5 linked regions of the Callithrix jacchus genome follow. The main gene of each other region encodes a partner of the protein of the gene in region 2 in a complex. Links are inferred from orthologs where the notes say so. Each region holds a gene or a part of one and is shown on either strand. Other genes may lie near its edges. The genes, in order: CREBBP, PPARG, MED1, NRIP1 and NFKBIB.

Evidence for each region.
Region 1: the proteins of PPARG (region 2) and CREBBP are in contact, whole or in part, in a crystal structure (PDB 7RLE), measured with the Homo sapiens proteins. The link is inferred for Callithrix jacchus from reciprocal best matches to the Homo sapiens genes PPARG and CREBBP. Residues at the interface, in NP_056953.2 of Homo sapiens: Val321, Gln322, Thr325, Glu326, Lys329, Phe334, Val335, Leu339, Asn340, Gln342, Val343, Thr344, Leu346, Lys347, Leu496, Glu499, Ile500, Lys502; in NP_004371.2 of Homo sapiens: Asp62, Ala63, Ala64, Lys66, His67, Lys68, Gln69, Leu70, Ser71, Leu73, Leu74, Arg75.
Region 3: the proteins of PPARG (region 2) and MED1 are in contact, whole or in part, in a crystal structure (PDB 6ONJ), measured with the Homo sapiens proteins. The link is inferred for Callithrix jacchus from reciprocal best matches to the Homo sapiens genes PPARG and MED1. Residues at the interface, in NP_056953.2 of Homo sapiens: Val321, Gln322, Thr325, Glu326, Lys329, Phe334, Leu339, Asn340, Asp341, Gln342, Val343, Thr344, Leu346, Lys347, Gly427, Leu429, His494, Pro495, Leu496, Glu499, Ile500, Lys502; in NP_004765.2 of Homo sapiens: Asn638, Thr639, Asn641, His642, Pro643, Met644, Leu645, Met646, Leu648, Leu649, Lys650, Asp651.
Region 4: the proteins of PPARG (region 2) and NRIP1 are in contact, whole or in part, in a crystal structure (PDB 9CWN), measured with the Homo sapiens proteins. The link is inferred for Callithrix jacchus from reciprocal best matches to the Homo sapiens genes PPARG and NRIP1. Residues at the interface, in NP_056953.2 of Homo sapiens: Val321, Gln322, Thr325, Lys329, Phe334, Leu339, Gln342, Val343, Leu346, Lys347, Pro495, Leu496, Glu499, Ile500, Lys502; in NP_001426204.1 of Homo sapiens: Ser130, Thr131, Leu132, Leu133, Ala134, Leu136, Leu137, Ser139.
Region 5: the proteins of PPARG (region 2) and NFKBIB are in contact, whole or in part, in a crystal structure (PDB 9CK0), measured with the Homo sapiens proteins. The link is inferred for Callithrix jacchus from reciprocal best matches to the Homo sapiens genes PPARG and NFKBIB. Residues at the interface, in NP_056953.2 of Homo sapiens: Gln322, Thr325, Lys329, Phe334, Leu339, Gln342, Val343, Leu346, Lys347, Leu496, Glu499, Ile500; in NP_002494.2 of Homo sapiens: Asn286, Pro287, Ile288, Leu289, Ala290, Leu292, Leu293, Arg294, Ala295.

Annotation. Positions count from the first base shown.
Region 1 is NC_133513.1:5,996,564-6,002,291, reverse strand, and holds the start of CREBBP (CREB-binding protein), read left to right. Parts: upstream 1-2,155; 5' UTR 2,156-2,285; coding exon 2,286-2,370; intron 2,371-5,728. UniProt on the Homo sapiens protein: Acetylates histones, giving a specific tag for transcriptional activation. Mediates acetylation of histone H3 at 'Lys-18' and 'Lys-27' (H3K18ac and H3K27ac, respectively).
Region 2 is NC_133516.1:69,578,911-69,583,989, reverse strand, and holds part of PPARG (peroxisome proliferator-activated receptor gamma), read right to left. Parts: intron 3,044-5,079; coding exon 2,593-3,043; intron 1-2,592. UniProt on the Homo sapiens protein: Nuclear receptor that binds peroxisome proliferators such as hypolipidemic drugs and fatty acids.
Region 3 is NC_133506.1:119,909,819-119,915,379, forward strand, and holds the start of MED1 (mediator of RNA polymerase II transcription subunit 1), read right to left. Parts: upstream 3,833-5,561; 5' UTR 3,630-3,832; coding exon 3,605-3,629; intron 1-3,604. UniProt on the Homo sapiens protein: Component of the Mediator complex, a coactivator involved in the regulated transcription of nearly all RNA polymerase II-dependent genes.
Region 4 is NC_133522.1:22,076,572-22,082,306, forward strand, and holds the start of NRIP1 (nuclear receptor-interacting protein 1), read right to left. Parts: upstream 3,771-5,735; 5' UTR 3,570-3,770; exon of another isoform or gene 3,426-3,569; intron 2,849-3,425; exon of another isoform or gene 2,597-2,848; intron 1-2,596. UniProt on the Homo sapiens protein: Modulates transcriptional activation by steroid receptors such as NR3C1, NR3C2 and ESR1. Also modulates transcriptional repression by nuclear hormone receptors.
Region 5 is NC_133523.1:34,460,418-34,466,076, reverse strand, and holds the start of NFKBIB (NF-kappa-B inhibitor beta), read right to left. Parts: upstream 3,685-5,659; 5' UTR 3,592-3,684; coding exon 3,413-3,591; intron 1,791-3,412; coding exon 1,685-1,790; intron 1,603-1,684; coding exon 1,269-1,602; intron 64-1,268; coding exon 1-63. Other genes in the region: SIRT2 (NAD-dependent protein deacetylase sirtuin-2), read left to right, coding at 4,105-4,120, 5,196-5,242. UniProt on the Homo sapiens protein: Inhibits NF-kappa-B by complexing with and trapping it in the cytoplasm.

The sequences.
Region 1 (5,728 bases), on a different chromosome or scaffold from region 2:
GTGGCTGATCCCGGCTCACTGCAACCTCCACCTTCCAAGTTCAAGCGATTCTTCTGTCTCAGCCTCCAGAGTAGCTGGGATTACAGGCGCGCACCACCACGCCCAGCTGATTTTTGGATTTTTAGTAGAGGCGGGGGTTTCATCATACTAGTCAGGCTGGTCTCGAACTCCTGACCTCAGGTAATCCGCCGGCCTAGGCCTCCCAATGTGCTGGGATTACAGGCATGAGCCACCCTGCCCGGCCCGGGAGTTGTTTTAAACAGATTTTTTTCCTCTCTTTTCGGGAAGTTAACTCTTGCTGCGTGGAGAGAAACAAAAGAGGGCAAAGAATACTTAAGTGAGCAGCTACCGCCATCGCCACCAGTGCGAGAGGAGCCGTCTCCCAGGTCAACACCATCGGGAGAGGAGTGCGTGGCCGGTGAGGAGGAGTCCGCAATGACTCACTTAGGAACTCAGGGTTTCTGGCTTAGGAAATAGGGTTGCTGCTGATACCTTTATGAGGAAGCCGGGCAGGTTTGGAGGGGCAGATAACTAACTGAGATGGGAACACCTTGGGTGTTCGTGGAAATGTCCTGCGGGTTGTGGTCTCGCGTGGGGGCCTCCCCAGGCCCGCATCCGTCTGGGGCACCTGCGACTTGCCTGGGGCGGGGAGCACGGCCGGGGCGTGCAGGCCTAAGCCCTATGCGCGGGCCCTTCTCGGCCCAGGCTGGCGCTCGCCACCCCACTCTCATAGGTGAGGATATCGGCCTCGCCGCCTCGGGCTGGGAACAGGCGTGAGGTCCCCTCACTCTCTAGTATCACGAGGTGGGGCGGGATCCGAATTCTGGCCCTGCCACTTTCTGCCTTGGCGACTTTGGAGAAGTTGCTCTGCCCTTCCTGCCTCAGTTTCCCCATCGGCCCACCTCGTCGGCGGACCCGAGGGCGGTCTGTACCTCGCAGGGGCCATTCCACTTCCCTGGCGGCGAGGGCTAGTGGCGTGGCGTGGTCTGGGCTGGGGTCGCCCCCGGCAGTCCCCGCCCGACACCACCGAGGAGGGTCTCCGGGAAGCGCGGAGCTGGGAACAAGCACCGCCGCCCCAGCGAGACGGGCGGGCCCGGGCCGGCGTCGACTCCACACCCCAAGGCCCGATCCATGGCCAGGCCGCTGCTCCTGGAGTCCGCTCGGGCCAGGAACCACGGCAGTCGTCGCCTAGTCGCCGTCAGAACAAAAGCCGCGGCTCAGCCCGTAGCCCCGGCGTCCCGCAGGCCTCGCCCGCGCCCGGCCACCCGCCGCCCCTTGCTCAGCGGCCGCGCCTTCGGCCCTTCCGCCCGAGCACGCTCGGCTCTTTCCGCCGCGGCCGGCGCAGGTGGAGGGGGCGGGGCGGGGGCTGTGCGTGGTGACGCCGCGGGGGGGGGTGACGCACTGGCGTGCCCCGCCCCCACCCCCTCCCCGTTCAGGCTCTGGAAAGAGAAGAAAAAAAACTTTCTTTTTTTTTTAATTGAGGAATCAACAGCCGCCATCTTGTCGCGGACCCGACCGGGGCTTCGAGCGCGATCTACTCGGCCCCGCCGGTCCCGGGCCCCACAACCGCCCGCGTACCCCGCTCCGCCCGGCCGGCCCGCTCCGCCCGGCCCTCGGCGCCCGCCCCGGCGGCCCCGCTCGCCTCTCGGCTCGGCCTCCCGGAGCCCGGCGGCGGCGGCGGCGGCAGCGGCGGCGGCGGCGGCGGCGGAACGGGGGGTGGGGGGGCCGCGGCGGCGGCGGCGGCGACCCCGCTCGGCGCATTGTTTTTCCTCACGGCGGCGGCGGCGGCGGGCCGCGGGTGGGGAGCGGAGCCCGGAGCCCCCTCGTCGTCGGGCCGCGAGCGAATTCATTAAGTGGGGCGCGGGGGGGGGAGCGAGGCGGCGGCGGCACCACCATGTTCCCGGGGACTGCCTGAGCCGCTCGGCCGGGCGCCGTCGCTGCCAGCCGGCCCCGGGGGGGCAGCCGGGCCGCCGGGGCGTCCCCGCCGCGGAGTGTCGCGCTCGGGAGGCGGGCAGGGGATGAGGGGGCCGCGGCCGGCGGCGGCGGCGGCGGCGGCGGCGGCCGGGGGCGGGCGGTGAGCGCTGCGGGGCGCTGTTGCTGTGGCTGAGATTTGGCCGCCGCCTCCCCCACCCGGCCTGCGCCCTCCCTCTCCCTCGGCGCCCGCCCGCCGGCTCACGGCCGGCGCTCGCTCCTCTCCCTCGCAGCCGGCCGGGCCCCCGACCCCCGCCCGGGCCCTCGCCTGCCCGGCCGCCCGCTCCCGGGGCTGTTTTCGCGAGCAGGTGAAAATGGCCGAGAACTTGCTGGACGGACCTCCTAACCCCAAACGAGCCAAACTCAGCTCGCCCGGCTTCTCGGCGAATGACAGCACAGGTGAGGAGGGGGTCCGGGGCAGCGGGATCCCGGGGCGCGCTGTCACCCCCATCCGGAAGAGAGTGCCCAGGGGTCGTGGTCGCGGAGACCGACCGAGCCGGGAGCCCGGAGCAGGTCCGGCAGCCGGTTCCTCTCGCCCCGCGCCGGAGGGTGGAAGTTCGTCGCAGGACTGTCACTGGGCCCAGATGGGGCAGCACATGCACGATGCACTCGGCCTACCCGCCCCTGATCAGCCCTCCTCGCGGGGACGTGAGTGGCACTCCAGAAGAGAAGAAGTAAAGTGCAGCGTGTGGGTTTGTTTGGGAATGCCCTACGCACCCTTCCACGGCCGTCCACACGCGTGGCTGTCCAGAGGAATGACAGCGGAGGGTACATTTGATGCTTAGAGAAAGCAAGATCGCGGCCAGAGGTAGCGCGATGTGTTTTCTTGATTGGCGACACATTGACCAGGCTGCAGTCAGAGGACGCAGAGCAGCCGCCAGCTTTGAGTTAGACTGAAGTTAGGAATGAGTGAGTTCCTTGGAAGGATGCTTAGTGCTTATTTTCAAAACTTTTTTTTTTTTTTTGTCAACTAGGCATTTAGTGTTTCGTTTCCATGTATAACTTCAAAAGAAAGTGAAACGGCAGATTTTAAGTTCATTTCGGCTGCAGTCACCGTTTGAGTTTGTGTTGTTTTCACCGTGTACATGTACAAAAAATTAAGGAATGTAGGAATTCCAATTTTTCTAAAAAATATACCAGGATACGGAATAAATCACCTTTTTTGTTTGTTTCCTCTAATTAAACAGCTTCCCTGGAAAGTTTCTTGAGTAATCATAGCTGTTTAAGAGTAGTACTTTAGTTTTCTATTCATTCAGTAATTCTGGGTCCTCCTGCGCTGGTTCATGGTAACATGAACTAGTTGTATTTCCTCTTTGAGAGCTCTTTCCTTTGTGGCAAAAACTTGTGTGCCGCTGCGAACAATTCTGTCTCCAGCGCAGCTTGCATTTCTCCAGTAGTCTTGCAGTGGCAGCGTCTGAAAGTCAGTTTCTAATGAATGAGTCCAAATTGAATTACATTGCTGCCTTCAGATTTGCACTAGACACAGCTGTTCAACTCGTGGAAATATTTCTGTGACCGACCACTAGCATATTCAGAAATCTGCTTCTGCTGTTGAAACAAAACTTGAATTTTGTGGCTTAAGCTTGACTACAATTCCTGGAATCAAGTTTTGATAAGCGACATTTAATATTAATGTAGAAGTGAAAAACTATTTTTAAAAATCACGAGGAGAGAACTTATCAAGTTAAAATTCCTTAAACAGTGGGGAGAAGTAAACGATGCTCGAGGTATATAAAAATCACTAATAATGCTTTTCTTTTTAGCTGATTAAAAGTTGAGTTTGACATTAATCTTATAAAATGAACTTATTGAAGTGAGAAATCTGTAAACAAAATAGTTTTAAGTCCCTTAAAGAACAATAGTTTAAGAGATCTTTGCTGCAAAACAGATCTCCGTTTCTTCATTAACTTTGCTGTGTTTGAGTGAAGAACCTTCACTTCTGTGAGACGTAGGTAGGTCATACAAGGCAAGTTCAGTTGTGAAGGCTGTCTGCTGAGACTGGTAACCTGGGTGGCTTTGTGGCTCTGCTATTGTTGAATGAATTTGTTGTAGATTTTGTGTTAAAAAGGAGGACAGTTAGTAACACAAGCGTTAACAAAAAGCTTTGTCCTGTGTACATCCAGCTGTTTCCAAGATGGAGCCCAAAGGATAGGTTTTTTGATAGTTTCCGTTATTGGATGGCCAGATGCTTAATAAATAACAAAATTGTTTACTTAGTAAAGAACAAAGTTGATCAGAAAGGATTTTCCACACTTACTCACCCTTTCCCCCTTCCTTTCCAATTTTGATCCTTGCAAGGCTCAGGAGCTCTTTTGTGGAAACAAAAGTCAGTTTGAGATGGTCCAATTTAGTCCAAAATAGAAAATCAGCATCATACTTAAGCTGGGTCCTGGGTTACCGTTCATCACCATCACACTATTGTGAAAGGGGCTGTTCGTGTGGAGGATCAAGGAATGAATCCTTATCAACCACATTAAACAAGGGGCCAAGCACCATGGCTCATGTGTGTAATCTCAGCACTTTGGGAGGTGGACGTGGGCGGATCACTTGAGGCCAGGACTTCCAGACCAGCCTGGCCAGCATGACAAAACTCTTTCTTTATTAAAAATACAAAAATTAGCCAGCCAGGCATAGTGAGTGGCAGGTGTCTGTAATCCCAGCTACTTGGGAGGCTGAGGCATGAGAATCGCTTGAACCTGGGAGGCAGAGGTTGCAGTGAGCCGAGATCTTGCTGCTGCACTCTCCCTGGGTGATAGAGTGAGCCTGTCTCCAAAAAAAAAAAAAACGGGATGACCATGTCTGGTTTAACTACTAATCTAAGAAATCAAGTAATGAGATGGTTGGAGATCTGAGGGATGTATATTAAACAGATAAATGCCTGCAGTCGTCTTAAGGACTGGAGGCATTTGGTCATGTGGGACAGACCAGAGAATAACATTTTTGAGGGACTCAATCTTTTTATCGAGGGGATGTGTCTCCCAGGCTCCCAGGGGAAAATTCGGCCTAGTGGAGCAGGTATGTGCCCAATGCCTATGATCCCATTTGAGGGAGGGGACCTCTGGGAGCTGAGGGGTTGAAAGGAGGAGGAGACAGCAGCCTGAGAAACAGGAGCTACTTGAACTCCAGGGCATGTTTGTGAGACTGGCCTGTGGGGCCACCAGTGTCATTTAGATATGTCTGTGGGGGGGGTGGTGAGCTGAGAGAAGAGTGCCCCCTCCAACAATGGGGCACTGCTCAGCCAGGGTGCTGCTCATCAGGGAGCGTGGGTGTTGCAAACAGCACTCCTGAGGTCAGGAGGCACCTCGGAGTGATAAATGTCACTGCAACTGTTGACAGACAGAAGTCACTGAAGGCTGGGAAGCTTACGCAGAGATGATGCAGAAATAGGGAATGTGCCGCGAAGGAGGGTAGCAAGAGGAAGGAAAAACAATGCCTTTCATGCCGCTGGAGCAGAAGCCCAGAGCGGCACAGAATGTGGTGGCCTCAGAGGTTAAAGCAGCATTTTACACTTTCTCACAGATGAGGTCTTCCTTTACTTAGCACCCTCACAAGAAGTGGGGACTTCATGTTATCAGTATATAGTTAGTTGGGTGTTTTGGAAACTTCTCTATTTAATATGTCTGAGTTAAAATAGCATATTGTGTCTTTCAACAGCAGAGATTCATGATTTAATTGTATAAGACAAATATCCAGGCAAGCAGTAGACTGGTTGTTTTGTTTTTTTGGAAAATTTGCACACAACAGGCTGTTTATAAAG
Region 2 (5,079 bases):
CAAATGCTTCTCTTTGTATCTGTGGGTAGGAATACAAACTGCTATGAACTTACACATAGGTGTATGTATATATCTATATATGTGAGTGTGCGTGTCAAATTCCTGATAGGAAAAATAGGACTCTTAATTATATTTTATTCTGAGTGCAAAGCCCTTTAGTTTTCACCTATACCATTCTGTACTCTTTCAATTATAAAGTGACCATTACTTTTATTTAAAAAGTTAACAAAAAGTATTAACAAAGAGTATGTAATGAAATGGGAAACTGATTCAGTGAAAAGAACAGACATGGGATATATAGTAAGCTCAGGAAAAATATTTGAAATAAATTAAATATTAGTATATTTCCAAATTTTATTAAAAATAAAATGTGCCTTTATTAAAAATAAAATCGTAGATAAATAGGCTGGGTGCAGTGGCTCATGCCTGTAATCCCAGCACTTTGGGAGGTGGAAGTGATTGGATCACCTGAGGTCAGGAGTTTGAGACCAGCCTGGCTCTACTAAAAATACAAAAATTAGCTGGGTGTGGTGGTGCATGCCTGTGATCCCAGCTACTAGGGAGGCTGACGCAGAAGTCACTTGAACCTGGGAGGCAGACAACCTGGATGTAGTGAGCAGAGATCGCGCCACTGCGAGAAGAGCAAGACTCCATCTCAAAAAATAAAATAAAAGTAAAATAAAATACTAGCTAAGTAATATAAACTGTTTTTCAAATCTAATTTTTCAAAATTTAATATTTTTCTTCTGGCAAACCTCTTATATACTGGAATCTCATCCTTTTTTGCCAAATTAATAAAATATACTACAGAGTCAAGGATTAATTTAGGTAGATTTGGTCAAGCTATTAAACCATGCCAGGTAGTATATTTTTGTTCTATTAAATATAATATCAAGTAGTTATTTGACCCTGGACTTGTGGCTCTAAAGGTAAACTACACCATATTGTGATCTATTTGCTCCCTAGGCATTTAAAGGGCGGTATTCTGCATGATGTGATGGTAAACAGCATAGAGTCTGAGCCAGCATGCCTGATTCACAATCATGGATCCATCTTTTGCTAGACACGTGACCTCGGGCAAATGAGAAAACCTCTCAGTGCTTTGGTTTCCTCATTTGTAAAATGGCCCTTACTTCCCTGAATTGTTGTAAGGGTTGAATAAATATGCATGAGGTGCTTAGAACACTGCCTGGCACACAAGAAGTACTAAATAAATGTTTGCTATTCTTATGACTACTGTACTATGCACATGATTTCAGAAACATTCTCCTTTCAACTGGACAACAAAAGACCACACAGTGATCATGCTCTTTATAATCCAGTGTGCAGTTATACACAGTTTACCACTATCCCCTGATGGCTTTTTCAGAAACAGAGAATTCACTGTAGAGTACATATAAAAAGCTCACATGAAGTCCACTTCAACAGGAAAACCCGCTACTCAGAAACAATTTTTACACAGAGAGATGAAAGTAAAACCTCATGAGAGGCTAATGAAAGTAAGGTTTAGGTTGGGTGTAGTGGCTTATGCCTACAATCCCAGCACTTTGGGAGACCAAGGCAAAAAGATTGCTTGAGGTCTGGAGTTCGAGATCAGCCTGGGCAACATAATGAGACCTCACCTCTAAAAAAATTTTTTAAAAATTAGCAGGGCATGCTGGTGTGCTCCTGTAGTCCTGGCTACTTGGGAGGCTGAGGTGGGAGGATCACTTGAGCCGAACTGTAAAATGGCCATGTATTACTTCTATGAAGTAGCATGATCATAGCTTACTAAATGCAGTTAGAAGCTGCAGCGAGCCATAATCATGCAACTGCACTCCAGTCTGGGTGACAGAGTGAGGCCTTGCCCCACACACAAAAAACAAACAACAAAAAAAGAAAAGAAAAAAGTCACACTCAGTAGGAAATCTGGTTTTTGGAACTGGTTAGTCAGATAATATACTTCCAAGGCCAAAAATACAACAAATTGCTAAATAACTCAGTTTATCTCTATGTTGTGTGTTCGGTTCACATTGCATTCTTAATCACAACCAACTACTTCATAAAGGTACTTTAAGGGAGCCATCAGAGGAATCCACACAAGAGAGTGGGTGGAGGTCAGTAGGTATTCCTTAATTTCTGATATCAGAAAAGCAATTCAAAACAGTATCTTACTGATGATAGCGCAGGAGCATAATTCGAGCAGAAACACTTAGTAGTACCTTCTCTAGGCCAAGTCAACAATGTCTGAAGCAAAGTTATATATGTCATTACTTACAGGAAACAGAGATTAGACTGGCCTCTAATCTTCCTTTCTGGAAAGAAAGAAGGAAACAAAGGAAAAAGGAAAACAAGAAGAGGGCATTTGACTGGAAAAAAATATATTGTGTGGGATGAAAGAGAAGATCCCGGGTTACCCATAGCCTTCATAGCAGAAACCTTTGATATTCTTTCTTGGTACAGTGTTTTGCATGTGTAGTGATGATTCATGGCATTATGCCATTGGCACTTAATGTGACAACGAACGCAGACTAATACTAAGGAAATTCAAAATTTTGGCCATCCCACCATCCTCCCACCCTCTCTCACAGAAGATCAAAAGACAAATCTTACCTCCACTGAGAATAATGACAGCAATAAATATTGCCAAGTCACTGTCATCTAATTCCAGTGCATTGAACTTCACAGCAAACTCAAACTTGGGCTCCATAAAGTCACCAAAAGGCTTTCGCAGGCTCTTTAGAAACTCCCTTGTCATGAAGCCCTGGCCTTCGGATATGAGAACCCCATCTTTATTCATCAAGGAGGCCAGCATTGTGTAAATGATCTCGTGGACTCCATATTTGAGGAGAGTTACTTGGTCATTCAAGTCAAGATTTACAAAACCAGGAATGCTTTTGGCATACTCTGTGATCTCCTGCACGGCCTCCACAGAGCGGAACTGGCAGCCCTGAAAGATGCGGATGGCCACCTCTTTACTCTGCTCCTGCAGTGGGGTGATGTGTTTGAACTTGATTTTATCTTCTCCCATCATTAAGGAATTCATGTCATAGATAACGAATGGCTGCAAATAAAACAGAAAAAGTGGCTGAATTGGAGAGTTCTAACTTACACTGAATGTCATCCCAGTTCAGAAAACTGTTTCGTTATGTAAATTTGCTTTGTTAATTAAAATCTTTAAAGCTGAAGACGCTTAATAATGAGGACGTATTCTCAAGTTCTTTTATTCATCTTAATTGTCTTCTGAGACCAAAGGTATTTCATCAATTTCGGTCTTCTTTCTCTTCAATTTATACTATAACACCTAACCTATGACTGCCAGGAATCCCAATGTCTCTTGTTTGGGAGTCTTCATTGTTGATTTTTATGTTTATTTGTTTGTTTTTGAGACAGAGTCTTGTTCTGTCACCTAGGCTGAAGTACAGTGGCACTATCTGGGCTCATTGCAACCTCCACCTCCCAGGTTCAAACGATTCTTGTGCCTCAGCCTCCTGAATAGCTGGGATTACAGGCACCACCACCATGCCCGGCTGAGTTTTGTATTTTTAGTAGGGATGTATTTTTAGTAGAGTTTTGTATTTTTAGTTTTGTATTTTTAGTAGGCCATATTGGCCAGGCTGGTCTTCAACTCCTAGCCTCAAGTGATCCGCCTGCCTCGGCCTCCCAAAGTGCTGGGATTACAGGCGTGAGCCACCGTGCCCAGCTTTTTGTTGTTTCTAAAATGATACAAAATCTACTGTTTATCTTGGCTTTCAATGAAATACACTTTTGGCCTTCTTTCAATTAAAAGTCATTTTGGCAACTCAGGGTTGAGAATACTCACTTGAACATAAAGTAACTTTTCAGGTTTAAAAAACATGTTTTTCTTATTTTTTTTTCCTTTTCCTTTGTTCTCCTTCACAGGTAATAACTTTTCAGTTTTAGATGACATCCTCTAAGATCACAAATGAAACTATGTGCATATGAAATGTGTTTAAGTATTACAAAATCACTCTGAAAGCAGATTTGAGCTATTGAACCAAGAAAATGTCTATTTCTTTTTTTAATGCTCTGGAAGTCATCTATTTCAGAAAGAGCAGATTCAGAAAGCCTGTAGGGGACTGCTGCAAAAAGTGGCAAAAAAGGGTTTTGAATTTATATTTTAAAATATTTGTCCTTACAGGTTAAACAATCAATAAAATACATGCCCCAATTATTCAAGTTTGCAATCGGCTGTTTTCAAAAATTAAGTTGTTTGGTCATGACCTGATCTTTCTCTGACTTTCCTTGTATAGAACTAACCAAAGGTTTGTAGTCACTGAGAAGTTCTCAAGGCTGCTCTAAGGGCAACCTTCTACTTACACTGGATACAGTGAATGACATATAGGAGTTAAACCTTGAATCCTGTTCAAATACTTGTGTACCTGAAGGCACTGGAAGAAGAGCTGAAGGTATCTGGGTTCTAGTTTTCGTTCTGTGGTGAACTATGTGACTTAAGGAAAGTCATTTACCTTTCCTAGACCTGAAATTTCTTCATCAGGGGTTTCCATCTCTTCTCTGGGGGAAATTCTAGCTGCATTTCTCAGAAGCAGGATGTGTGTAGGGGGTGGGCATATGTGTGGAGAGGTGTGAGTGTGTATGCACAACAAACATGAAGTCTCTGATGGACTAAAAGTAAAGATTTTTTTGAGCACAGATGCTGAGAATTCTCTCCTGAGTGGGCAGAGAGAAGGTGCATGAGTGGCCGTGGCAACTGGCTTCAAGATGCACTGGTTGGAGATTCTATTCATCTCTGCGGAACTCTATGATTTCCATCAAAATATTAAGTCTGTTCTACACTGGAGGAAATAACACCAACATTAAGGACTCTTAGATCTTAAATATTTCCAAACTTGTACGTCACATCAACACCATTTACTGGAGTTATTCTAGAAGTTTTTACTTTTGTTACCAAAAAATTCACTTCAACTGTACTACTTAGCAAACTCCAAAAGAGGACAGATGTGAGGACCCCAAAACAGGTTTGCCTGGTGGCTCTAATTTTTCAAGGAAATTGGGACCAAATTGTCCTTACTGTATTTCTTAGGCATTTTGCTTGGGTGTTTTTTCTGTTTCCTTTCT
Region 3 (5,561 bases), on a different chromosome or scaffold from region 2:
AGAGTCAAGGCAGTGAGGATGAGATCTTCTAAATCAAGATTCAAAATCCTGTTTGGGCACAGTGGCTCCACCTGTAATCCCAGCAGTTTGGGAGGCTGAGGCTGGTGGATCACAAGGTCAGGAGTTCAAGACCAGCCCAGCCAAAATAGTGAAATACCATCTCTACTAAAAATACAAAAAAATTAGTCAGGCGTGGTGGCACATGACTGTAATCCCAGCTACTCCGGAGGCTGAGGCAGAAGAATTGCTTGAACCCGGGAAGAAAAGGTTTCAGTGAGCCAAGACTGCGCCACTGCACACCAACCTAGGCAATAGAGCGAGACAATATCTCAAAAAAAAAAAAAAAAGATTCAAAATCCTTCCTACAATGCCCTCGTCTTCTGGAAAACTACTTTAGGGACTGTTTTAGCCAATTTATAGTTCTGGATACATTTCTGCCAATTTCCATCTTTATTCTAAGACATTCATTCGGATCCCATGGTAGAGGGAGCCATCGGTCCAAGTACTTTGGAGGCCAAGGCGGGCAGATCACCTGAGGTCGGGAGTTCAAGACCAGCCTGACCAACACGGTGAAACCCCGTCTTTTATTTAAATAAATAAATAAGTAAAAGAAAAGAAAAATAAGAAAGAGAGAGAGAGCGAGAGTGCGGAGGGGGAGAGAGAGATGGAGAGGGAGATAGAGAGAGACAGAAAAACAATGAAAGAAATAAAAAAGAGCGCACCATGGCTCACGCCTATAACCCCAACGCTTTGGGAGACTTAGGTGGAAGAATCGCTCAGGAGTTTAAGCCCGGGAGTTTGAGACCAGCCCTGGCAACACAGCAAGTCCCGGTTTGTACTAAAAAAAAAAAAAGACATTCATTCAAACATTTTTTTTTTTTTTTAATGAGATGGTGTTTCTTGTCCAGGTTGGAGTGCAATGGCGTGATCTTGGCTCAAGGAAACCGCCACCTCTCAGGTTCAACTGAATCTCCTGCCTCAGCCTCTGGAGTAGCTGGGATTACAGGCATGCACCTTGCCACACCCAGCTAATTTTGTATTTTTAGTAAACACGAGATTTCACCATGTTGGACAGGCTGGTCTCCAACTCCTGAACTCAGGTGATCCACCCACCTCAGCCTCCCCGTTTTGGGATTACAGGTGTGAGCCACCATGCCTGGCCTCAAACACTATTAAAAGCGCTGGGGAGGGCTGGGTATGGTGGCTAACATCTGTAATCACAGCATTTTGGGAGGCTAAGGCAGGTGGATCACCTTAGGTCAGGAGATCTAGACCAGCCTGGCCAACATGGTGAAACCCCATCTCTACTAACAATATAAAAATTAGCCGGGCATGGTGGTGGGCGCCTGTAAACCCAGCTACTCAGGAGACTGAGGCAGGAGAATCGCTTGAATCCGGAGGTGGAGGTTGCAGTGAGCCAAGATCACAGCACTGCACTCCAGCCTGGGTGACAGAGTGACACTCCATCTCAATTAAAAAAAAAGTGCTGGGGAAGCCAGACATTGTGGCTCACACCTATAATCCTAGCTAGCACTTTGGGAGGCCAATGTGGAAGAATACTTGAGCTGGGGAGTTCAACTACAGCTGGGGCAACGTAACAAGATCCCACCACTTTAAAAGAAAAAAATAGCCAGGCTCTGCTAAGTGGCTCACGCCTGTAATCCTGGCACTTTGGAAGCCCCTTCTCTACTAAAAATATAAAATTATCAAGTGTGGTGGTGCATGCCTCTAATCCCAGCTACTTGGGAGGCTAAGAAGAATCACTTGAACCCAGGAGGCAGAGGTTGCAGGAAACTGAGATTACATCATTGCACTCCAGCCTGGGCAACAAGAGTGAAACTGTCTCAAAAAAAAAAAAAAAAAAGGACAGTCTTACTCAGTAGCTAAGGCTTGAGTGCACTACTGGCACAATCATAGCCTATTGCAGCCTCGATCTCCCAAGGTCCAGGATGAAGTGATCCTCCCAGCTCAGCCTTCAGAGTAGCTGGCACTATAGCTAATTTTCCTTTTTTTTTTGAGACAGGGTCTCACTCTGTCACCCAGGTTGGAGTGCAATAACATAATCCTGGCTCACCGGAGTCTTGACCTACAGGATTCAGGTAATCTGCCTACCGCAGCCTCCCAAGTAGCTAGACTACTGGCTTGTGTCACCACGCTCAGCTAATTTTTGTATCTGTTGTAGAAACAGGGTTTTGCCATGTTGTCCAGGCTGGTCTCCAACTCATGGGCTCAAGTGACCCTCCTGCTTCGGCCTCCCAAAATGCTGGGATTACAGGCTTGAACCACTGCCTGGCCCTAATTTTTTATTTATTTATTTATTTATTTATTTATTTTTGAAATGAAGTTTCACTTTCATTGCCCAGACTGAAGTGCAGTGGCAAAATCTTGACTCAATGCAACCTCCACCTCCTGGGTTTGAGTGATTTTCCTGCCTCAGCCTCTCAAGTAGCTGAGATTACAGACAAGCCACCATGACCAGCTAATATTGTATTTTTAGTAGAGATGGCGTTTCACCATATTGGCCAGGCTGGTCTTGAATTCCTGACCTCAGGTGATCCACCTGCCTTGGCCTCCCAAAGTGCTGGGATTACAGGCCCTCACGCCCAGCCAATTTTTTTATGTTTTTGTAGAGAGAGGGTCTCACTATGTTGCCCAGGCTGGTCTCTAACTTCTGGGCTCAAGGGATCCTCCAGCCTCAGCCTCCTAAAGTTCTGGGATTACAGATGTGAGTCACTGCACCCGGCCCCACCTTTTGACCTCTCCTCCAAAACATACTTCTTGTTGTCCTTGAGAAACCTGCTGATAGGTAACTTTACTTCAATGCTCAGACATTTTTTGAGCGACTATTTACGTCAACGCTTATTTTTTGAGCAACTATTACGTGCCAGAAACTATACAAAAATTAATCAGGCAAGGTCCCTAATCTGCAAAGCTCAGAGTAAATTGAAAAAGATAAACAAACAATAATACAGCTCACTGTATCAACAGAACTATGCCCAAAATGCTAAGGAAGCATCTATACTGGAGTGTGGAACTTTAGAGAATCTTAGTAAAGTTCCACAGAAAAGTTTGTTTTTCTGCAGTTCTTAGTTCAGTCAATAAAAGAAAGGGAAAAAAAAATGAAATTCAGTGCAGTTTAAAAACACACAATAGCACGGGATCTGAACACTTGACATTGTAGGGAACTGCTGGCTGCTAATAAATATAAGGACCTAATCATTTCATTTATGCCAAAATATCCTCCAGTACGTTTACCCACAGCCCTGTATTTACTCAGACGTCTCTTCTGGAACGAGATGTAAGCTGGTTTTGTATTCACTGGCCCGGTCTCCCACCACTTTAAGCCAAAAGTGCCCTGAGGCCCAACCGACTGTCCCTAGTCGATCAGGAAATCTTCACAGAAGTTGAGAGTCCCCATCACCCCAAAGTCGGAGCTCTATATTCACCAAGGAAGGTATAGTGAGAATCTAAAACTCATAAACATTCCCTCTCCTGGACTCTATGCCCGTAAAGTGGCCCCTATCGGACATTGGCAGGAACCTCCTCTCACAAACCGGCTCCCCAAATTGTGTCCCGCCCCCTCCTTTCCCCCTCGGTCACTTACCCTCGGTTTCCCCCTGAGCTTTCATCCTGAAGGCGGGGAGAGCCTGGATCTGCCACAAAGGGATAAGCCCTTCCCCGCCACTAACGGGGAAAACAAGTTGGCCCGGGATCCCGAGACGCAGGGCACCAGCAGTCCCTACTCTTCCCGGGAAGGATCAGTCTGAAGTCCCCGGCGACAAGAAGAGAAGGGTGCTCGAGGCCGCCGCCATCTTCCCCAACGGAACTTCCCAAAATTCGCGAGATAAACCGTGGTCCTGCCAGAGGGAGGAAGAGGACAGGGCATCGAAATCTCGCGAATATTGGTCAATGCGTGGGCCTCGCGAGATTTCTTTCAAGCTAGTCCTGTCTTTGCTCTGGGCTGTCTCAGGCCTGACGCTGCTGGTTGTTAAAACTGCGGGCCAGTAACTTACAGCTCCCCTGCGGAAACCAGCATTTTCTTTTTTAATTTGAGCAGTTAAACAACTCGCAAATTAAAATCTCCAGATCTCTCTACTGAAAGACTATCTTTTCAAAGGCTATTGGTATCAGGAATGTATGTTTTCCGTGAGATACTAGATGCAATAATTATGTCCTAAGAAAGCTAGTGGCGCATTGTAACATGACATTCAAAGACAGCCTAGCACAATTAATTCCCCTTTCTTTCCTTCTTTTTTTTTTTTTTTTTTTGAGACGGAATCTCGCTGTGTTGCTAGAATGGAGTCCAGTGGTGCGATCTCGACTCACTGCAATCTCCCTCTGCCTCCTGGATTCAAGCGCTTATCCTCCCTAAGCTTCCCGAGTAGCTAGGATTATAGGTGTGTGCCACCACACCAAGCTGATTTTTGTGTTTTTAGTGGAGACGGAGTTTCACTATATTGGCCTCTATCTTCTGACCTCGTGATCCGCCCGCCTTGGCCTCCCAAAGTGCTGGAATTACAGGCGTGAGCCACCGCGCCGGCTTCTTTTCTCATTTTTTTAGTTTCAAAACTTTCTTTCTCTTTCTTTCCTTCTTTCTTTCTCCTTCCTTCCTTCCTTTTCCTTCCTTCCTTCCTTTTCCTTCCTTCCTTCCTTCCTTCCTTCCTTCCTTCCTTCCTTCCTTCCTTCCTTCCTTCCTTCCTTCCTTCCTTCCTTTCTTTCTGACAGAGTTTCACTCTTGTTACCCAGGCTGGAATGCAATGGCGCGATCTCGGCTCACCGCAACCTCCATCTCCTCGGTTCAAGCCATTCTCCTGCCTCAGCCTCCCGAGTAGCTGGGACTACAGGCGCAGGCGCCATGCCCAGCTAATTTTTGTATTTTTAGTAGAGACGGGGTTTCACCACGTTGACCAGGATGGTCTCGATCTCTTGACCTTGTGATCCACCAGCCTTGGCCTCCCAAAGTGCTGGGATTATAGGCGTGAGCCACCGCGACGGCCTCTCTCCTTCCTTCCTTCCTTCCTTCCTTCCTTCCTTCCTTCCTTCCTTCCTTCCTTCCTTCCTTTCTTCTTTCTTTCTTTTTCCTTCCTTCCTTCCTTCTTTCTTTCTTTTTTGAGATGAAGTGTCGCTCTCTCACCCAGGCTGGAGTGCAGTGGCAGAACCTCGGCTCACTGCAACCTCCGCCTCCTGGGTTCAAGCGATTGTCCTGCCTCAACCTCCAGAGTAGCTGGGATTACCGGCACCCACCACTATTCCCGGCTAATTTTTGTATTTTTTTTTTTTTTTTTTTTTGAGACGGAGTTTCGCTCTTGTTACCCCGGCTGGAGTGAAACGGTGCGATCTCGGCTCACTGCAACCTCTGCCTCCTGGGTTCAGCCAATTCTCCTGCCTCAGCCTCCTGAGTAGCTGGGATTACAGGCACGCGCCACCATGCCCAGCTAATTTTTTGTATTTTTAGTAGAGACGGGTTTTCACCATGTTGACCAGGATGGTCTCGATCTCTTGACCTCGTGATCCACCTGCCTCGGCCTCCCAAAGTGCTGGGATTACAGGCTTGAGCCACC
Region 4 (5,735 bases), on a different chromosome or scaffold from region 2:
AGATCTTGGAGGCCATCTTTCTCTCAGGCTACACCACTTAAAGGAAGAACATTACTTCCTCCATGGACAATGTGATAAGCCACATGGCAACAAAGCTGCCTCCCTAAGGTGTCTCATTTAATAGACTGCTTTACCACATACAGACTACCAGCAAAACAGATTATCACTTTAATTCACATTGATTTTACTTTTCACATCTCTGAACCACAACTCTGCCATAGGCTGCATCCTCTTAACTTCTGAATTGCCAGAATTTCTGTAATTGTAATGCTTTCCTATATTTTTGCTTTTGTTTCATTCGGACTTTAAAAAGTTCTAACGGCATCTGATTTGGAAGATTTCTTGAATCTCTGATAACATCACAGAAGTTGTTAAGGAATCAGAACTGCCTTGGTGCACAAGCCGAGTACTCCGTTTTAAAATATTTTGAATTAACATCTTGGAGAATAGCCCACTCAACTTGATATGTCATAATTTTCAATTCCAAAGGTGGCATGAAAAATTTAAACTGGCTCTTGCTATTTATTACTTAAATAATTGTTCTCTTGGATGGCCTTTTGAAAGCCAGCACTTCTTAATCATTTTCGACTATATCAGAACTGTAACAGACATGTCAATTTAAGCAAACTTCATGAGCAATAAACTAACAAACAGACTCTAGGTGGTGGTATAGGTTATTTTTTATCATGATGTTTTGCACTTATAACTGCAAGAGTCAGAAAAGCCTTTGGTCTCTTCACACATTACTGCAAAGTTAACAATATTTTAGGATGTTAAAATTCGCAAAATCCAAGTTCTGCAGAGTTTGGAAAAGCACGCAAAACAGGCATTAAATCTGATTTTCAACTAATTCATATGAATAAAATCAACAACAAACAGTCATTTTTTTTTTCTTATGTTTTGATGTATATTTTACTCACACTCCTAGGGCACTTTTAAGGGTAAGTTTGGAAAGAGGTCTTTTCCACCAGCTAATGAAACAGACTAGATAGAGCAACCAGTCCTATGACCTGCAGGGCAGTATCTGCTCCACTAATTGATTCTCCTTCTTTGTTTCTAGGAACTATACCCAGGCAAAGAAAAGTTACTATAAGTGATGAAGCTACTGCTCCCTGAACCAGATAAACCCTACCGACGATACCGAACTGCTGGGCAAAACCAGAGCAACTCACTTACTTGGAAGTTAAAAAACATTTCAACATACTCCAGGCGGCAACCGACACTTAGGGGCCAGGCAGATGAAGCGCCATTTGTTTAAAAAGTCTATTATTTCACTATCTCTTCAACAAAGGTGGAAAACTGATGATTAAACATAGAATAATGCCACCCACTTACTAAACCTATGACTCACTAATAAGCAGGTTCAATGCAATTCATAACTTTAAAGAATGAATTACCGAAGCCCCTTGCTTCACAAATTCCCCCAAGAAATAGAAAGAGCATTCATCATATATAACCCGACAACCATTTTTACTGTGGACACCTACAGATGGCTTCTCTGCCTCTAAGGACACAATTTCCTTCACAATCCCACATGTAATCATTTACAATACCAGAGACAAACTCTAACTCAGTTCCACCAATTGAGTTCTTAAAAATCCTTGTACCTAAAAACGTCTTCTTTTTCCCCCCGAAGTAAAATGTGCCATTACAGAATATTTTTAAAACGAAAAAGTGCTTATCATTCCTTTCTTCTTTTACTACCTTCAGAACCCAATTACTGACGTGCTAAAAGGTAGCAACTCCTGGAATGCTTCAGAGATCAACATGTGTCACAGACTCCAGCCTGTCCGCCTCTAAGACACAGTTGATTCCTTTGTTCCTTCAGACTGAACACCAACTCCTGATTAAAACTGGGAAACTACTTTGGAAGGGCTGGGAGGGTGTGCAGAAGATGACCATGGGAACCTTCGTAAAACAATATTCAATAGCGGTAACGTGGACACAGAAGAAGGGAGAAAAGGCAGCCTCCCCGGACTTCCACAGGGCTCAGCCTAAATGGGAGCCGGCCCCCGGCTCCGGGTAAAACGGTGGCTGAGGCCTCGGGTCCGTGAGCCTCGCTCTCAGGAGGGGACAACGAGTGCGGGCAGAGCGGGCCTGGGGTCGGGTGGGGGCCGGACGAGCAGTCCCGGTTCCCATTCACTTTCCCAGCCGGGTATCCCGCGAGCACCGAGCAGGGAAGCACCCGGGCGAAAGGCGCCGCCCCGGATCCGGCTGGACAGCAGGACCGAGAGCGACGCGGCGAGCGGTGCCCGGGGCTCGGGGCCGAGAGGGCAGGCGAGCCGGGCGCAACCCCGATCCGGCCCCGCGAGCTCCCGCGCAGGGGCCACGCGGCGGCCGCCCCCTCGCCCAGCACTGGCACGGACTGGCGGGCAGCCCCGGGGCCACTCCACAACTTGCCGCCCCGCCGCCCCGGCCCCCCGCGAGATCCCGGGGAGCGGAGGCAGGATTTCCCCGGAAACGCACCCTCCCCGCCGCCCCGACGCCCCCGCGGCCCTGCCCGCCCAGCCAGCGCCTCCGCGGGCCGCACTCCCGGCCGTTTCCGGCGGGGCCAGAGCGGGCTCCTCCGAGCGCCCCGGCCGCGGCCGCCACTCACCCGAGGCCGCCGCGGCTCCCAGCCTCCGGCTCCGTCAGGCTCGGTCCGCGAAGGCGCCCGCCGCCCCGTCCTGGCCCGGCGCCCCGGCGAGCTCTTCCCTCCGACCAGCGGCGCTCCCTGCGCAGCGGCGGACGCGAGGCCACGGGCGGACGGGCGCGCGCGGGTGGCGGGCGGGCGTGGGGCCGGGTCGTCCCTGCGCCTCGCCGCGCCTCCTCCACCTCCTCCGCCGCCGCCTCCCGAGTTCGGGGCTCTGCTGCAATGTCTGCGAGGCTGACTTTGAGCGCCTCGCTCGCCGCCCGCCCGCAGCCGCGCTCCTCCCTCCGCCGCCGAGTCCGCCGCGGCCCAGTCCCTCCCCTCGCCGCCCCACGCCATTCAGCTCTTCAGCCAAGTTTCTTAACCCTTTTCTCCCCCTCCCTCCCATTGTCACCCGGTCGGGAGGAAGCCGCGCGGATGCGGGCCGCTCTCAGGAGTCGGGAAGCCCCCTCTGGTTCGTGGTTTTCCTCCTCGCCTGCTCGGGGGTGGCCCAGACGGGGCTGCGGGGCCCCGGGGCGGCGAGAGGACCGCGTCCCCGGGAGAGGGGACGTTCCCCGGGCTCCCAGCTCTGTCCAGCGGCCCCCGACCGCCGCAGGCGCCTGGACAGCTCCTCCCGGGCACTCGGGGAAGCGCTCTCGGGACCCAGGCCGATCGCTCCCGCCTGGGCACAGCCCGGGAGCCGGACGCCCCAGGGTCCCCGCCTGGGTGCTGGCGCCTTAAGCGTCTACCTCCTCCCCTTCACCCCACGACACGCGCTCCCTGGGCTCCCTCTCACCCACCCACCCCCGATTTCCACCTCCTTGTCATCTGTGTGTCCTGCTTTAATCTCGGGGGGCACGGGCGCGAACTCTGGGTCACTTTGACCCCACGCCCAGCACGTAGTAGGCACCCAGCAGCACTCAATGTGGCGCGACTCCGGGAGGAAAACTAGGAAGAAGACCTGAGGAGCGCCCCGCTCAGCTCCCTGGACAGACGTAGGACCCAGGAGCAGGGTTAATCCTCGGCTGCTTTGTCACTGCGAAGTCTCCGGCGGAGTCTGTCAGCCAAACTACATCATCCCCGGGCAGGATCTGACCCAACGAGACAAGGCAAAGGAGCAGGGCTGCTACTTCGGCAGCTCTCCCCGGTTCAGTCTCCGAATAAGAAATGACAATTACATCACGAGGCCGGGGCGGCAGCGCGGTGGAGCCTTTCGGTTTCCTGCAGCCTAATCTCGCTGAACCCGCCTCTAAATTGGGGGGGCTACAGATTGGTGAAACGAGAGAGTGGAGGGAGGAGAGAGTTATACGAAACCATAATTTCCCCTTCTCCGTGTATTTGCTGTTTTAAAAATCGTATCCTCAACGCTCCCCAACCAAGCATCTCACGAGAACTATTAACACCCCCTCAACACCTCCCCAGATGTCAGGTTTCTTTGTGACTTGAGCATCTAGCATTTAGTAATAAGCATGAAAAAATTTACCAGGGGAAAGGAGTGTTGTTGCTGAAATTGTTTTTGCTTGACACAAAAAAGCTAAAAGTACAGCGTAGTCTCATCCGAAATTCTGAAATGGCATGCCTGTGTTAAAGCACTTATTACATAAGGCAAATGAGCCGCTGAGGCACTCCATTCTTATATGTAGGCTTTCATATCCTGAAGAATTTGATAGCATTTGGAAATGGAGTTGCTAATGCGCTTAAAAAACAAAAACTATCCAAGTCATAAAACTGTATTCTTATGCCTGTTATGTAACGGCTGTATTGTGTATTTCAAATTTCACTTAGCCTTTAAAAATGTGAATACGAGTTTTAAAATACTGTCATAGTCTTGAAAGTGAAAGCAAATTTTCAAATTAATGCTTAATAAATTCAGCATCTAGCACAGTGCCGGGCACATGGTTCCAATGTTTTGCTTAGTGGCAATGGCACATATTAAAACAATTATTTTACATCACCCCAGTGATTCAACGATGCAATCTGTTGCCATTTTATATAGTTAAACCTCATATAATAGCATATTATTTGCATATACCACAGTGCAAAATCTGCTCTAGGCAACTTAGTAAAGGCTGCTGTTCTTTAGTGCATCATTTATTCAGAACTGATACAAAGCAAACCATTCCAATTCAATGATGACCAGCATAATTGGAGCTTGGCCCCTTAGTGGGAGTCAAACTTTTTTTGTGAAAATTATTTTTAACCATTATACAAAGATTTTTCTGTATTGTCTTTCAAATGTTTCTCTTAAGCAGTTTATTGAACGTCATTTAGCATTTTCTTGACAATTCAATGTCAATTTTATTAAAAGTGATTATGTAGTAGGTTGTAGTGGATTCAGGAAATACGTCAAGTTCCTATTCTATATTCTTCCTAGGTGTTAGGGATGCTCCCAGGAGGTACAAAAGCTATTAGTCTTTACACAGAAGGACTCTAGGATGCTATGACTTAGTGATTATCTCTGCCTTTTGTAATTTCTCTCTCTCCCCCTTCACTAACTAAAAATCTGTTGTCCTTGCTGTTACCAGCATAGCTGCCACTAACATTCTTCTCATCTTCTGATTGGTAACTTCCATTCTAGTGCGGACTGGGAATCCAGATAGCTTCACTTGTCACAATTCTGTCTAAAGTAAACTTAATAGGTTCTGGGTGAGGGACTGATGGGCTCACCGAGGAGTAAGGTGCAACACACGTTAGTGCATAGACTTTAGGAAAGATATTTGGACTACTCAAGTGTAGCTTTTAAATGCATTCTTCTTACTTCTTAACCAGGTTTTGAACCACAGCGGTTGCCCAACAAGCCGAGAATTTTCCAGCCCTCCAGCACTGGTGTTAAAAAGTCCACTGCTGTATGTTAGATGACTGCCCAAAGCGCCTCACTTATTATTATTATGTTTTCTCAATCACACAGAAACCCAGTCCTTGAAATCCTGAACTCTTTTGATAGTGCATGGGTGTTAAGTAAATTGCACACCTCTTGTGGAATTCATTTTCACTTAATCATGCTAATTATGTGGAGACTATTTTGTTTTGTTGTCTTTTTTTTTTTTTTTTTTAAATAAATCAATACCTAAATTTCCCGGGTAACAGAGTCATTGCAAGGATACTAGGGCATATATGTAATATAAGA
Region 5 (5,659 bases), on a different chromosome or scaffold from region 2:
CTCGGAGCAGCTGGACCATCTCTGCATCTTTGTGGATAACAGCCACGTGGAGTGGGGTGTGGCCTGGGGACAGAGTGACGCATCAGATGATGGGGTGAGGGGTCCCCCATGCTTTGATCCTGGGGGAGGACCACGTGGCCTGAGGGTGATCAGGTGTGGGGCTGGTTCCTGAACCTTTGGGTATGTCAAAGAGGTACCTGGGTCCTAAATGTGTGTGTCGGATGGCCTTAGCTTGCCGGCAAGTGCTAGAGCCTGGGCTTTGAGAAGCCTGGGGCTCATGGGTGAAGAGCCTGGGGTCTGTGGATGGGGGGCTGGGATGTTGGGGCCAGGAGACCTAAGTCTCTGCTCTTAATTCACAAAGGACCTGAGCTGGTGCGCTGGCTCATGCCTGTAATCCCAACACTTTGAGAGGCCAAAGCAGGCAGATCACAAGGTCAGGAGATCGAGACCATCCTGGCCAACATGGTGAAACTCCATCTCTAGTAAATCCACAAATTAGCCGGGTGTGGTGGCAGGCACCTATAGTCCCAGCTACTCCGGAGGCTGAGGCAGGAGAATTGCTTGAACCCAGGAGGTGGAGGGTGCAGTGAGCTGAAATCACACCACTGCACTCCAGCCTGGTGGAGAGTGGGACTCCGACTCAAAAAAAAAAAAAAAAAAAAAAAAAAAAGGGGGGGCTACCAAGTGGCTGAAAAGCCTGTGATCTGGGGGTGAGATGCAGGCCCTTAACAATGGGTCCTGAACGACCTCAGTCCATCTGAGGAGGGGTCTGGTACCAGGTGGGCAGGCTTATAGGTGAGGGAGCAGAAACTTGGATGCCAGGCTGTGGGCAGGTGACTCCTTTTTCCCATGAGGCAGAGGAGGGCTGTCCCTGCTGCCCATCACTGGGAACCTGGGGTGCCAGAGTTTCCCAGAGGGCCTGAGCTCTGCATTCCCTGGTCCTAGGTGGGGTAGGGATACCAGCTTGAATACACCCTGCAGGTGGGGAGCCCAAGGGCCCAGCAACTGGATCCTGGCAGCTCTGGGTCTATGAGTGCCAGGTCTGCGTCCCAAGTGATCTGGGGCCTCCAAGTGGGAATCCTGGGTCTTACATATCCAATTGTCAATCATCTGGGCCCTGAGTGGAGGTCCCTGGTCCCGATGCCTGGGTTCCTGAAGCCTAGGCGTGATTTCCCAAGGAGTTCGGTCTGGAATCAGGGAAGAGAGCCCAGGGCCAGGTGCTCTCACCTAGCCTGGGAGCTCAGTCCTTCCCTGGTGGCGACCCTCACCCTCATAGTTTTCAGCCTCCAGCTGTAGCTTCCACTCCTCCTCACTCTCCTCTTCTTCCTTCTCCAAGTCAGAATCGGGGTACAAGGTGACAGGGGTATGGTTGGTGTCGGGATTGTGGTCTGGGCCATGAGCGAGGTAGGTGTCCGGGGCTTCCCTGGGCCGCCGAGGGCGGGGCTGAAGCAGGGCACGGGCACAGGCAAGTGCCCCCACACGGCAGGCCAGGTGTAGCGCCGTGTGGCCCCCACGCTCTGCCACGCACAGCCCAGCGCCTGCTGCATACAGCTTCTCCACCGTGGATGCCTCCCCCAGGATGGCTGCCAGGTGCAGGGCCGTCTGCAGAAGCAGAGGACAGGCAGTAGGGAGTCACACTGGGAACCCCAGACCCCAACCCCTACTCCATCCCCTCGTGGCTCACCTGGCCTAGGTCATTCTGCAGGTCCATGTACTCAGTGCCGGCTGAGAAGCCTAGAAGAAAATCCAGGAAGGGTTCGTGCTGATGAATCACAGCCAAATGCAGTGCCCTGGGGACAAAGACTGGGGTCAGAGGGCAAAATTCAAGTCCTCTTGCATTCCTTCATTCAACAAACATGGGGTGGCTACTGTATGCTAGGCTTTGGGACCACAGTTCTGGAACCCACTGTCAGCTATCTGGGAGGGTCAGAGAGGTCAGAGTTTCATCAGCAAATTTGTGGAACCAACAATGTTTATTCAGTGGGATTTCCACTTCTGCCCAAAATGAAGTAACATGGACCAGACTTCCCTCCCACAAGAAACAAAGAAAAATCAGACGCAATACGGTATATGAAGCAACAGTGTTGAAGACGCTGGACGTCATGCAATGAATCACAGTGGCCCCCGAAAGACAGGAAACATGAGGTGGGCCCTACACTTGACTGCCACAGCTTATGGTCTTGAGAGCCACGGTTGAGAGAGGGGACCCCAAGCAGAGCCCATCAGGTTGTCTGAGGTCAGGAGATGGACATGGAGGAAGAGTCTGTAGAGACCAGGCTTGCAAGAGTCACAGGACAGAGTTGTTGGCCAGGCGCAGTAGCTCACACTTTGGAGTGAGCTAAGAATCAAAGACCAATTGAAAACTAAAATAAAATTAATGAAACCAAATTAATTAACAAAAATTAATAAACCTAAAGCTGGTTCTTTGGTAAGATCAGTATTTATTAACTGCTTCCTGGGACAGGCACTGCCTGCATCACTGGGCATAGGGCAGTAAACACAACAGACAAAAAAACCCAGTACAGTCCCTCATCTGGGCCTTTGCAATTGCAGTTCCTTCTGCCTGAAATGCTCTTATCTTGTTTATCTATTGCCTCATTTTCCTGCTTTATTTTTCTCCAAAGTACTGACAACCTGTGACTTTCTTTCCTTCTCTTACTTTCTGTGTCTTTCTTTCTGCATGTCTTTGTTTCTTTCTGTCTTTCTGTTTCTTTCCTTCCTTGCTGTCTTATCAATCTGTTTAGCCCCACTAAAATAAAACGTCTCCTTCACAAGGGCTTTAGTTTTTTGTCTGTTTTCTTCACTGCCTTTATCACTAGCACCTAAAACGAAGCCTGGAATGTGGTAATATGTAAAGAATATTTGTTCAACAGATGAATCCTTGGTTTCATGGAGCTTACATTCTTTTTTCTTTTTCTATTTTTCTACTTCAATTAGGAATTCAACATAGGAGAACTTACATTCTCACTCTTTTAAGACTTGAAGAACACTGCTCAGAAAACAAGATCTTAGAGTCAGGGACCAAGTATTAATTTCGGAAATCAGTCTAAGGCTCACATCAGGAACTAAGAATCAAAGATTATATTTGGAGGTTCGAAGTCAGGAGAAGCCACAGTTCTAACAAAAGCCTCAGGACTGGAGTCGGGTTTGGGTATCCGTGGACAGAATGTGGATTCCAGGAGCTGAGAATCATAGTTCAAGAAAGGAAGGTCTGAAATGATTGGGTTAGCATCACAGCTGGATAGAAGATTGGTTTTGTTAAAAGTTAGGACTCAGGGGTTACAGGTCAGGAAGTTCAGCATCGGAAATCAGATTTAGGAGTAGGAGGTTAGGAAGCCTCAGGGATCAGAAACTAATGGGGAATCAGACGCCGGGTCCTAGGGCTCCGTTTGGCAACCTAAGGTTCACTCACGTGTCCCCATCCTCAGTGACGTAGCCGAAGACAAGGGGCGCCCACGACAGCCCCGGGCCCAGCTCTGCGACCAAGCCCGGTCCTCCGGGGGCCGCTGCGTCCGGACCCAGGGAGCCCAGGCCGCTGTCGCACCATTCATCTGCGTCGGCAGCTTTTCCCAAGCACGCGACCCCAGCCATGGCCCCCGCCACCTCAGGGGCCCCCCGCAGTCGCTTGCCTGGAGCTGGGCTTTGCCGGCAGTTCTGGCGCTTCCGCCCTGCGGGAAATTCCCCACCACGCCCCCTAATTCATCCAATGATAATATGCTGAATCGCTCGCGCCCTACCCTGGTACCATATCGTGACCAATCAGAGTATTTGGGAGGACTACGACTCACTAGCCGTTTTTACATTTTCCGGGCGCCCTTTACCAACATGGCTGCTGACGCCGCGCCTTCTGGGACTCGAAGTCCGGCCCTAGCGCGCTTTCTTACCTAAGTCTGGGGCGCTCTGGCTGTCGTACGAAAGCGCGGCTTCTGCCGCAATGGCTACTGGGAGTTGTAGTTCTAAGCCCTATCCCGGCCACTCCCATTTCTGGTGCCGTCACGGGACAGAGCAGTCGGTGACAGGACAGAGCAGTCGGTGACGGGACACAGTGGTTGGTGACGGGACAGAGCGATCGGTGACAGCCACGAGGGCTTCAGCACCGTGCCCATGGCAGAGCCAGACCGTGAGTCGGGGACCCGGGTGGGAGGGTCGGGCCGCGCCGGGGCCTAGCTGAAGGCTGCAGGCCCCGGGGCCCGAGGGCGGCCGCTGCGGGGCGGGAAGTAGGGAGCGCTTCGGATAGTGGGATTCTGAGGGTTGTTGCTAAGCGATCTGTATCGCTAGGCTGGTGGGTTTCTGGGTCGCAGGTTGTTCGGGGTTGGTTTATCACATCCGCTTGCCAAGTTGCCAATAATGGCGTGTTTTTCGTATCTTGGTTGCTGAGGACCCTCGCTGCAAAGAACCTAAGTTGCCGCGGTCCCTGTTGCTAAGGGTACCTAATTGTTAGAGGCAACCGGAGGATGCTGAGGGACCCCTGTTGTCCCCTCCTATGGCTTCCCTTCGTATCCGCGCCTCTCCCAAACCTACCGCCTCCACTGCACCACTGCACCTCCCTCCCAGACCTGCCTCCCAGCCGAAGCGTCCCCTCCCTTCTCCCTTCCTTTCTAAACTTCCCTCTGCCTTGTAAACCTAACCCTCCCGCACACACACTCACACTGCTGCGTCCTTCCTAACTCCTCCTGAGTGTTCCTTCATGCCCTGAATCCCCTAGGCAGGAGGAAGGAGGATCGCTTGAGCCCAGGAGTTTGAGGCTGCAGTGAGCTATGATCGCACCATTGCACTCCAGCCTGGGTGACATGAGCCAGGCCCTTTCTCTAAAAAGTAAAAGACAAAGAAAGTCAGGGCCAGACACAATGGCTCATGCCTGTAATCCCAGTACTTTGGGAGGCCAAGGTGGTTGGATCGATTGAGCCCAGGAGTTCAAGACCAGCCTGGGCAAAAGCCCCTACTTCTCCCTGTCCTCCTAAATCTTCCTCCCCAGCCTCTCTGCCCCTCACTAATCACCTCCCCGGGCACCACTTTGCATGCGGATAAGATATTTTCTCCCATCCCCTCTTTCCCTCTGCTCCAATTTTACCACCACCCCGTCCCAGTGTAACTAGGTTGGTGGGTGTTCTTGCCCCCTCACTGACAATTTGAACCCTTGTGTTCCCCCCTTAATCGTTCTCCCTACTGTAACCACCTCTGCTCCCCTCCCCCAGCCTCTCACCCTCTGGAGACCCAGGCAGGGAAGGTGCAGGAGGCTCAGGTGAGATGGGGGAAATGGTGGAGGGGAGGAGAGACATGGACTTGTTCCACATCCCATGCTGGGGGGAGGTGGCAAAGGAGAGACAGTCACCCCAGGGCCCTTGGCTCATTGTCCCAATCCTCACGCCACCCAGGGCAGCTTTATGGGGACAGGCAGATTCTGGGGATTGTCACAGAAGAGTTTGCAGTCTCGAGTCCAGGCTTGCCCTCCCAAACTCTCCTCCTTCCTTGCCACTGCCTCCCATCCCTTCTAAACCAAATTTGTCCTGGGCCTGGAAGAGACAGGTGTCCCATTTGGTCTTGGAACACACAGATCTCATGGACAAGTAATGGGAAAAATGATCCGACAGCCTGATGATGAAAGGAACTCAGGGTACGGGCGGGGGAGGCAGGTGCAGTGGCTTATACCTGTAATCCT